2 linked regions of the Nothobranchius furzeri genome follow. The protein of the gene in region 2 purifies or fractionates together with the protein of the main gene of each other region. This does not show direct contact. Links are inferred from orthologs where the notes say so. Each region holds a gene or a part of one and is shown on either strand. Other genes may lie near its edges.

Region 1 (5,765 bases), on a different chromosome or scaffold from region 2:
TAAAAATCTGGTTAACGTCTCAGACGAAGAACAGATACAGCAGGGGTGTCAAACTCATTTTAGCTCATGGGCCACTCTGAGGGAAATCTAGTCCCAAGTGGGCCAGACCGGTAAGTTAAAAACAACTTCAGATTGTTTTCTTTGTTTTAATACAATCAATATAAAACAAGGCTGGAGTCTGAGGACAGTGTATCCAAAATAGTAAATACAACATCTGAAGTGTACTTGAAAATTTGAAAAAAAAAATAATAATAAAAAAATCAATTAAAGAAAACATTCCTTAGTGATTCAAAGAACTTACAAATCACATGGCTAGATAGGGCTGGGCGATATGGCAAAAATAGAATATCACGATTTTTCCAATATTTTATCACGATTTCGATTTTATCACGATTTTTTAAACATGGATAGCATAACTTCAATTGCGTATTAAAGAAGAGAAACATTGAATAAATAAACATTTATTCATATTAGGGATAATCAGCACAGTGCTAACACGCTTATATTTTAAACTCACACCAGAGATGATAAAAGCCCTGAGAGAAACAATTACAAAAATCAGTTTTTCTCGTTTTTCAAGTAACTTAACATAAATTAAAATCGTAAACATATTTAAAGTGCAAACATGTCAATTGCATACGTATTGTGCAAACATTAACTTGTTCAAAATACTATGTAGCTCCCAGTTGCTCATGTAGTGGATAGTTAAGCTCAAATACGGCTCTGATGTGCGGCTGGACCAGAGATCGCTTGTGGTAGCAAAAAACTGCACATTCTGAATATTTTCTGCAACAAGTCTCTAAATAAAGTAAAATTTTCCAGTGCAGATTGGAGACAACCCATAGAAGCACTGATTTGATCTCATTTCAGAGAAAAATAGAACAGGTCAGATGCACCTAATATATAAAATTACTAACAAACTCAGGAATCTTTCTTTGCTTCACTATTCTGGTGCTGAAAATATCACTAATGTGGATCAAAGGAGATACACAGATGAATGCACCTCTTATTATTTGGAGACTACATTTACTGCAGCTGGCAGAGGCAGAGATCGTTTCTATTGATACACGGAGTTTACAGAATCATTTTAAATGTTAATAGGGGAAGACTGCAGGAGGGAGCGGTAAAATACAGGGGGTCCCCAGCAAAAACAAGAAACTACGAGTCTGATGAAACCCGCTGGTTTTCCATCAGCCAGTCACGGGGCAGCTCCAACGACCCAGTGACCGAGCTCAGTCCGGTACCGACACCGGCTCGGCAGAGGGTGAACCAGCCGAGGTGACGTCGTGCTCTGCTTAAGAAGCGGTGTTATTTTCCTGCTTCAGAAGAAGCGTCCAACGTGTTTTTACGCTTTCTCCGAGACATGTCACGTCACTAAGTTGTTAGCGCCGCGCGCTAAGGAAACCCTGCGTTCCTCTTCGGAACGAAAACCTCGTTGTCGCTCAGCCGCGGCGAAGCCATGTTTGTTCGCACACAAATGAAAACAAGCGGGGCACTAATATATTACTATGACTCACTCTGATTGGTTAAGGGTCAAACAAAGGCGTGTCATTCGCCTGAGGTAAGTTCCCTTTTCATTCAGAGGCAGAAATTCAACAGCAGAGCTGTGAATCGTGATAAAACGGTCTCTCAAAAATGACAGACCGTCAGATGTGTAGATAGTAAAACGGTCTACAATCGTCATATCGCCCAGCCCTATGGCTAGATCAGTTTCATGCAGCACTTCAAATATATTTGACTCATTTTACTTTACATCTTTTAGCTTTCACCAGCACATCAGTATCAGAAGTCACATCCTGAGTGGCAGCCAACTTCAGGATGTGATTCAAGTTCTTGTGTGAGCCTTGAGCGCAGCTTTGTTTTATTTATACTCATTACAGAGAAAACTTGCTCACAAGTTCACTCTACCGTTGTAAGGTATGAACATAAAGTTTACACAACCATCTCGCGGGCCGGATTTAACCTGCTTGCGGGCCGGATCCAGCCCGCGGGCCGCGTATTTGACACCCCTGAGATACAGACTCGGGCTGTGCTGCGGTAGCACACGGGTTGCTGAGGTCACTTGAACAAGCTTTCAGGTCAACCAAAGCAAGAGCCGTGTCCCCGTCTACAGCGACAAGTCAAAAGCACATTCATGATGCTGGTTGGGGGGCCTCAGAGTTGGTCGTCGCTAGTCCTGTTGGGGATGTTCATGAACAGAACCTCAGAATGTCATCATGGACAAGAGGATGTCCAGTTTAGGAACGTCAAGATTTCATCTCTGCTTTCTGCAGAGGATGTAGTGTAGGTGTTGGCTTCATGCAAAGACCTTAAACATGCACTGGGATGGTTTAAAGCGGAGTGTGAAGCAGCCAGATTGAGTCAGGTCCTCCAGGTTGGGAGGGAGTCTCTTCCTCAGGCTCAGGCATCCTGGAGTCTTGCTTGTAAGAGGCGGTGGGACAGAGGACGAGGTGGTCCAACGGTTAAGGGCTTTTTCTGTTGAGACATGGCTGCTGTGTCAGCATGTCGTGGTAAAGAATAAGCTGCTGAGCCAAAAGAAAAATATTTCAATTTAATGGTCTGTTTATATTCCAACTCTCAGCTATGGTCACAATATTTGCTCAGCCTTAAGAGATAAGGAAATGATCTCCATCACCCAGGGGGAAGTCAAAGACCTGGGGCTTCTTCATACCTAAACGAGTCAGCCAAAGTGATGTGGGTACCTGACTGGCTCCTGGGAGGTTTTCCAGATAAGTCCCACAGAGAGGAGAATTCTGGACAGACCCAGAACGTGATACATGGTTATTTGGATAAAAGGTAGAAAATAGAAAGATGGATGCATCTTTTAACTTTTCGTATGGAATATTTTAAAAGAGCTATTAACAAAAGTCTGATAAAATATATAAAACTACAGTTTCAGATGACACAGTTAACACTGTGAATGCAGCCTTAGCATATAGAAAACTGAAAATTATCCGTTTTTTTAGGTATGGTGTCCTGGAAGGGACAAACTAAAAATAACTGCATGTGCTTTACACAGCTTTAAAGTGAGGGTTTACAGATCATGTCCTTAGATACTTCTCCATCAACCAGACCGTCATGTGCTGCTGTCCTCTATCCTCCCAGTCTGCCATTATGAACACTTATTCCCCTCCAGTTCTCAGATGGATTTTACAGACATGTTTTATTCGCATGTGATTTAAAGCTAGATGTAGATGTTACTGCTAATATAAAATAGTATGTTGTAACAAATAAGTGATCCATGCAAAAACCTCTCTGATAACCTTTGACCTAAATGCGTTTGAGTCAAAACTTTGTTAAACACAAGATTAGACATTAATTGTCTAATTAGAAAACAATTCTGGTTAACTTTTAATTAAAAAACACATTTTAGAATGCTAAACGAATGCTGAATAATTATTTTTGCCATGTAACAATATAACATGGTATACTGACAGACTATAGCTCACCTTCAGCACCATCTTCTCCGCAACACCTGGGGGGAAGCCCATCCTGTCGCTGGGACCAGACAACAGGCGATAAAAGTCTGTTTTGCGATACAAAAATCCGAAATAAACCTGGAGAAAGTCCTGAACGTTCCCAACGTGCTGAAGGATCCCAAGCAGAGCGTTGTCATACATCTCAGTCATCTGCAGCGGTGACGCCATGGTAGCTTTAAACCTTTTTTAGACTTTACAAAAAAAAAAAAAACTATAAAGTCTTCTGATCAACAGCGAGCGACCAGAACTGAAATGTGGGACTTTAAGACAGAATAAAAACAACAACAACAAATGGTGCCAGCTGAAATTTCTTAGCGACTGTTTCCTTTTCCAGAACAATTCACCGTTTTCCGGTATAGTGCTTTCAAAATAAGTTCCCACATAAAATAAATAACAATGATAATTTATATTTTTAAACCTAGATGGGTTTTAAATGTTTGGAAGTCAAACTAATTTACATTTAAATAGTTATTGAACAATTATTAAAACATATTTCCTAATTATAAAATACAAAAAAACTGTTCTTGTAAACCAAGTTACGTATACAATGATTAAATGTCTAAGCATCATTAGGGCTTAAAATAAAATAAATAAAGCTTTACATTTCTGTGTTTTACAACTAAATGTGACTGTGACGATATTTAAAAAATATTTTATATTAACAATATCCGGTTGGTACAGCTCAGTTGTTGTACGGTAAGAACACAAGTATACAGTAATCATTCCGGACATAGGTAACTTTCGGCGTTTAAGGGGAAAGATCTTTTTTTTATTTACATAGCAAGCTGAAATCATTACGATATTTACATTTTTATTTTTTGATAGCTATAAAAATTATAGTTGGTCTGTAAAATAAACAAATGATAGTAACACCTTCCCTCTCCGAGTTAAACATGGCGGCGTCCTTGACTAGCACAGCGAACGTGAGGCTGCTGGTAAGGAAATTATCTAAAAATGGAATGTTCATTATTGTTATATTGAATTGTGTGTCTCTTTAGACTCAGCGTAACAATAGTAATGCTCTAATCTGGACAATGTTAACTGTTGTGCATGAATTTACTGGTAAACTGTATTTTCTGTTTACCAGATTAGTGTATTTTCAGTAACCGGTATAACTAGTGAACACCTAGCTTTGTTTCAGAAAATTAACTGAAGGAGTTTGAAAATATACATAAAATGTGGAAAGGAACAACTAGATATAAATCCTCGATCTTCAAATTATTGCTCAGGATTACGGTTTTGTTCTTACAGTGATATTTAAGATACTAACAAATTCCACAACTTTTTCCATTTATTCATAGATTTCGTCCTCATTTTTACATCACAGAAATAGTGGCTGGAAAATAGGATATGTGATGTGACATAAATCATTTTAGTCATAGTCACATAGTTATTGTTTTTATGCAACCAATATTGAAATTACATATGTGATTGACTGAAGTCTTCAATAAAAAATAAATAAATGAATAAAGATAACTGGGAATTTGTGGGCAAAATCCTTCATGATTAAGGAACTGGACGTCTGAGTATTTTCAGTTTTTGAACAGAGATCCTACATGTTTAAAATTTTTAACAAGCCTCTAAAATGCTCTCTCTTTTTTTCTGCACATATTACAAACGTTAAATGGTCTGTATACCTGCTTCCCCTCCAGAGTTCCTTTGCTTGGTCCAGCTTGTTGAGCGGCCCAATAGGAAGCAGAAGCCTCCATGTAACAGCTGTATGCTGCAAGGTAAACTTTATTCTAAACACATCAAGCTGCATCAATCATCTTTGCCTGATTTATGTTATTATTTAGTCTCCACTTCAAACTCCACGTCATGACTGTTTTTACAGAAGTCCACACACCATGTCTTCTAGGGATGTGTATTGCTGAAATTTCGGCGATTCAATACATATCACAATACAGGGGTGACGATACAATGCATATTGCGATACATTCAGTCAGACATTATTAGCAATTTTTTAGACTGAATTGTAGGAATATACAATAAACAGTCCAAACTGATATGTAACATTTTTAACATGAGGTATCTGACCCATAACAGAGGGATTTACATTTCAATGGTGGAAACAAAACCCATTGCACACTGCTGCCATCTAGCGGTCAGTGTTTGAATTTCACCAAAAGAAAAAAAAATACACAAATGCTTCCATGTAAATTCTTCCAAAAAATCGATACACAGCTTTTGAATATCGATATAATATTGCGGGAAAAAATATCACGATATATTGCGATATCTATATCACTAATGATCCCTAATGTATTCAGTGTTTTCAGTTTTTTT
Region 2 (6,024 bases):
GGCCGCGACTTCATACAACAGGTCAGAAAGAAGCAGCGGCGTCCTGATGTCACCATGGAAACCAGAGGTACAACGAGGGATCGATTATAGGATAGCACACGACGTCATCGGGAAGCAATTCCTCCAGATTCTGATTTTATCACCAAATTAAAACACAAAGTTTTTTTTTCAGGGATTAAATCTACAGAAAATAAAAAATTAACTAAGAGGAAAACAGGCTGAACAGCTTCAGGTTGGAGAAATACAGATTCTTTTTGACTAGATTGATAAGCTAACTGCTAGTCCCAGCAGGTGCTCAGCGCTGTTGTCTTAAGGCTCAAACATATCAGTAATACGGCAACTACCCCCCCCCCCACACACACACACACACACACACAGGAAGTGCTACAGCTAGCTGCTCTTAAAGCAAAGATGCTAACAGTGGCCAACGCTGTAAAGCTGTTTAGATTAAACTTGTTTAAATGCAGCAGAAACACCTGGTTCTCTGCCTTGCCTAACTAGCCGTTAGCTCATCAATCCAGCCACAAATAATCTGTTTCTCCAAACTGATGCTGCTCCCAGACGTGAGATATTGGTTGTTTGTTTGTTTTTTTCAACAGAAAAATCGGAACCGTCCCTTTAAAGAGCAAGTCACTCCAAATCAACTTTTTTTGCTCATAAACTAAATAAACGAGTGTCTGGTCGTGCTGTAGACATGTGCAGTCGACACTTTAGTGCATCTTAGCTCAAGTTTAAATATTCTGCCTAAAACGGTCAGCGTTGCACCGTCATCAGGTAAAAACTCTGCACTGCATTGAATTTAAATCTGCCATCGCTATTGGCTAAGAGGTACTCTATGATGTTAGATGGTACATTATGATGTCACAATGTTGTGTGTGTATTTGTTAGCGGCTCCGCCCTCTCGCTATGCTATGCTACAGCCTTTGTTGCATTTTTCAAACAGGAAGTGGGAGTGGAGTAAGAATCTGGTAGGGGGTGACTTGCTCTTTAAGCTCAGAGAATAAAAGTAATTACGTCTCCTTAGAATAAAATTCTGAAAATGTTTTTGTTTAAGAACCAGTTCCAATAAAGTTTAAAGGGTTGGTGGGAACCGTATTTATGTCGATGAGGAAACACGAGTTCTGCTAAAGGTGGCCCGACTCACCATTGACTGCTAATACAGCTTCTGTTAGAATAAAAACAAAATCACGGATGGTGACGGTCTGAAGTTTTAACTGAACATGATCCAGATCAGAACCAGCGGTACCAACAGAACCAGGAAGTTTGAACTCTGGGATGTTGATGAAGAAGCAGGTGAATGCCAGTAAGTTTGTTCCGTCTTTGCTGCACATTTATCTCCGTTAATAATTAAAAACACAATAAACATTGATCGTTTAACACAACAGTTCTCCTTGTTTGGGTCGGGCCTGCGCTGCGGGTCATGAAACCTACAAACTGTAAAAAATAATAAATAAATAAATCTGATTAAGGAGCTTCAACTTTTCCTCAAATTTCAACGTTTTCTGTAAAATATTTATTAAAAACGTTAATTATGAAAATTACTATATTAATGTTTTTGTGTCTAAATCAGTAAATATTTGGGTCTGAGGGGGTTTTATTGTAGGTCGGTCATTTGTGAACCCCGCAGATTAAGCCAGGATTTTGCTGTAAAGCATCCAGATTTACTTTTATGTTTAGAAAACACAAAAACAGTTCTTAAAGAGCAAGTCACCCCCTACCAGAGCCTAACTCCACTCCCACTTCCTGTTTGAAAAATGCAACACATGCTGTTGCCTGGCAGACCGAGAGGGCGGAGCCGCTAACAAACACACACACACAGACTCACGACAGCATTGTGACATCATAATGTACTAGTTTACATCATAGCATACCTCTTAGCCAATAGCAGTGGCAGATTTAAATTCAAATACAGGGCAGAGTTTTTACCTGACAACGGCACAACACTGCCAGTTTTAGGCAGAATATTTAAATTTTAACTAAGATGCACTGAAGTGCCAAACTATTGACGACACGTGTCTGCAGCACGATTAGACACTCGTTTATTTAGTTTATCGGCAAAAAACAGTAGATTTGGGGGTGACTTGCTCTTTAAGGTTGAATAAAAAAGGCTGAAACCCCAGACTAAAGCCACCAGGAAGGAGATTATTTGTGTGGAATTGAGACGGAGAGCAGCGTCGTACCTTTTGGAGCCCGGGCCAGCGATCACAGGCTGTGACGTCTGAGCGCTAAGGGGCCGCTCGCATTTCCTGTGTTTATGTTTCCCCGGTTCTAACAGAACACACAGAACAGCAGCATCAGGGTCAGATCAGCTGATCCACACAGAAACAACAACAAACCCTGCAGGTATTTAAAACTGTCAAACAACAGGATCTCATTAAGCATGAACATTTAAAAGCAGTTTGAGAAATTAAAGTGATTTTTAACGTTTGTTGGGTCTGGGAACTCGTTTCAGTCGTGATTATAAATGTTTCAGTTCTTCTGACTTTAAACTCATAACCAAGTCACAATAATGAGTTTTAAATGCCTGACTGTTCTCTATAAGAGCAGCACTGATGCAGCTTGCAGAACCGATACCAGTTTAGGGTTTTTCTGCGCAGCTCTGACCTGATAAGACTGATTTATTAAGATTTGTGTGAAACAAAAATCTGCAAAAATGAAATATTGTTAAAAACTGAAAACCTGATAGATAATTCAAGAAGGGAGGACCATGGACCGTTCACAAAGTGAGCTCAGATTAATTAGCATGTAGCAGTGGTGCGTTCAAGGACCCAATTTAAGAAAGGAAGAAAATTAGATTTTTTGTGTCAGGTGGACTGTTGTGGTCACGTGTTTCCAGGTCTGCGCATCTGAACCATCTGAAAATATGATAATAACAATATTTATGTAAACACGCTGCTGCTCTTAGTTCCTCCAAAGCGTCTGAGCAGAAAACTTCTCCATGATTTATAGTTTTGGGTTAACTTCAATTTATTCCTCTGATGATAAATAATGTGCGGAATAATACTGGTCTCCAGGTGAAAGCCTGTCTGAGGTGCGAGGAGACGGACAGGTGAGTTAAACGTGTCAGGAACTGCTGTAGTTAGAGCCTGAGAGCCAGATTCATCACGGCTGTCCCCAGACCAGCAGCAGGCTCGGATGTGTGTCTGAGACTGGAGCTGAAGGCTAACACACCTGAGCAGGTGTGTTTATCCTCTTTGGTGTACCTCCACCACAGGGGAGGAGGTTTTTAACTCGAGCTCCAAACAAAGGCTCCACTCAGCGGCTCTGACTCTGCTCTCACATCCGGCTAAAGCCGGAGGCTTTATTCTGCCTCTGGGGTGGAAGCGTTGACGTTAAACGTGTTAATTACGTCTCTGTGGTTAAATTAGCTGCAAGCAGGCTGCGGTGACCGGGGAACAGCTTTAGCTTAGCGGCTAAATCCAACCGTCTCACCTCGGCGGTGCGAATCCCCACAACCCCTCTTCGTCCAGGCAGCTCTGGCTCCGTCAGACATGAAGTTACGGGTTCGATTCCGCGGTCAAGAGAGCGGACGGCAGCGCCGCATGGCCATACTTTCTCTGTAATCCATCAGCCAGACGGAGATACCCCCCACACGGCTCCAAATTAGACGGGTGCCGAGCCGCAGCGGTCCACAGGATTTACAGACACCATCTTCTGCACCGACGTAATTTCCCTTCATGACGGAACTGAAGGGCGGCGGGAGAGCGGACAGTCAAAGAGTGTACATGAGACAAGATGGATCACTGCAGTCTAAAAAACAACAGCAAACAATACAACTGTACTGAGTTGTTTGTTTTGTTGTGCACGTCTTACTTTTTAGATGATATAAATATATCAATATAACGGATCGCATTTTATTACACATTTAAAATAAGCTAATTGATACAAGAGGTATTTCACCACATAGATATCATATATTAATATATGATATGTATGTTTCACCACATGTAGGTTCATCAGAGACCTGGAGTTAAGTTTATACACAAATGTAAATAAAATTATTTAGAATCAATATATGCCCATTCAGACTGCAGGTGTAGACAGCTAATTAAAAATGTCACATTTAGATTTAGATGTCCACATAAATATTTTTACATAGGTTTTCAAAAACTACAAACTTGTTAAGAAGACTACAAACAGTATTTGATGATGTCATATTTTAACGACGGCCTGGCACTAATTATTTATCTAGGCTTATTTTTAAATTGACGTTAATTAAACCAAGTTTTGTGTTCAGTAGCAAAAAAATCTAAACTATTTATTTATTGGTTATAACGAGTAATGATATAATAAATTGTTCTTTTACGAACGTGATAAATTGCATCAGCATTTGAGAAAGGACCCGTTTTTCTTTCAGTCAGAGAAATCATACGAGATATTTTTAAATATATATGTATATAAATGAAAGTGGACATAATTTACACGTTTTTTGTTAAAGTTACAGTTTTTGTTTGATTTTGATCAGAGTAAAACGTTTTTTGTTTTTTCAAAGAAACGGTTTGGTAAATTGATCAGGCATTCGGCGGGGCTGCCTCTTTCATTCCCTTTCCAGCGAAGATGGCGGGTGATGAGTCTGGAACAACGCTGGGTCAGCCTCATCTGGCCAAACAAGACCTCAGCTCTCTGGTGAGTCTCGTTTCAGCGGTTTCTACACACCCCTGAGTTCACGTTTCAGGCTGGCAGCCCGTCGTTTAACCGAAAGCAATCCGTTAACGGGGGGAAATTGTGCGGTGAGCGGTGGCCGGGGCTGCGCTGCCTTCACCCGGCACATGACGGCAGGCCCGGCGGGGTGGAGAGTTCCTAAAGCACGAGCGGAGCCTCCAGGTTCTTTAAAGCGATTTAGGCGTTCACGTGTTTCTAAATTGTCGCTATTTTGTGTTTGCGACTGTTAAGCTCAAAAATTAGCTTCAATATTAACTGTCAGGAAGTAATTTTGGTGACGTATTTCTGGGTGATGTTATTGTGACACTTCAGTGATGAAGGCGGTGTCATAAACCTTTAATAACAGGGTTATTATGGTGGGGATGGGATTAAAGATCATATCTATAAGGTAGAAGTTAGGTAACGACTTCCTGTTCCGGTCCAGAAGAAGACAAATAAAAACGTTATTAATCTAAAACTGTTTAAACCTTTAGATGTTACAGGAATCCACCATGCATTTCCAGATGTGACTGCAATAAACTCATGATAACACATTCCTGTTATTTCTGCTGCATCTTGTTCCAAACTCTAGTTTCATCCATCAGTCTTTCAGGAATAATCTCTAACATCCTTAATTAATTATTAGTTTTTTCTTTGGAGGTTTTATTCTGCTGAGGAAGCAGGAAGCTGCTCGTCCTTTCTGATGGTCTAACGCGTGGTCCTGGTCAGACCTGGAGCTCATTTTCTCTGATTACGGACCTTGTCCCAGGCTGCTGTGATGGGTTAGGGTTAGGCTCGTCTTTGTTCCTGATAATCTGCAGGATTAACCCCAGAGACGCCGCTTGGCTCAGTTAATCTGTGTTATTTTGTACGTTTTGTCAGATCTGGGTGTTTTCTTTCGGCAGGACGTGTCCACCCTGACGCCTCTCTCTCCAGAGATCATCAGCAGACAGGCCACCATCAACATCGGTACGAGGCCGGTGTGCCTTCTGTTGTTTTTGTTTCTCTGCGGGTTTAAAGCGGTTCTGACTCGGTTCTGACTCTGTTCTGACTCTCAGGCACCATCGGTCATGTGGCCCATGGGAAGTCCACAGTAGTGAAGGCTATTTCTGGCGTTCATACCGTCAGGTTCAAGAACGAGCTGGAGAGGAACATCACCATCAAGCTAGGATATGCTAACGCTAAGGTGAGCGGTTCCTGTGCAGCGAGGATGGATCCGGGAGAATCCTCTGGGAAAAGCTCTCAGGGGGCGTTCTGGGTCTTTATTTCCTCATTAACGGCATTATTGAATAAAGGAGAGTTAAATCTGCTTTATTTTGAAATCCTGAGAGCTGATGATTCATCTTCCTGTAGACGGTTCTGTTGGAACCTTGTCATTCTGAT

What was found. The genes of interacting proteins can lie anywhere in the genome.
Region 1: the proteins of klhl15 (region 2) and nudcd3 purify together in Homo sapiens (co-immunoprecipitation; 3 studies listed by BioGRID and IntAct, with this or other methods). This does not show direct contact. The link is inferred for Nothobranchius furzeri from reciprocal best matches to the Homo sapiens genes KLHL15 and NUDCD3.

Annotation. Positions count from the first base shown.
Region 1 is NC_091746.1:39,650,122-39,655,886, reverse strand, and holds the start of nudcd3 (nudC domain-containing protein 3), read right to left. Parts: upstream 3,811-5,765; 5' UTR 3,648-3,810; coding exon 3,450-3,647; intron 1-3,449. Other genes in the region: mrps24 (small ribosomal subunit protein uS3m), read left to right, coding at 4,340-4,414, 5,132-5,209.
Region 2 is NC_091747.1:63,364,917-63,370,940, forward strand, and holds the start of klhl15 (kelch-like protein 15), read right to left. Parts: upstream 3,722-6,024; 5' UTR 3,494-3,721; coding exon 3,433-3,493; intron 2,269-3,432; coding exon 2,181-2,268; intron 1-2,180. Other genes in the region: eif2s3 (eukaryotic translation initiation factor 2 subunit 3), read left to right, coding at 4,558-4,626, 5,547-5,610, 5,700-5,827. UniProt on the Homo sapiens protein: Substrate-specific adapter for CUL3 E3 ubiquitin-protein ligase complex.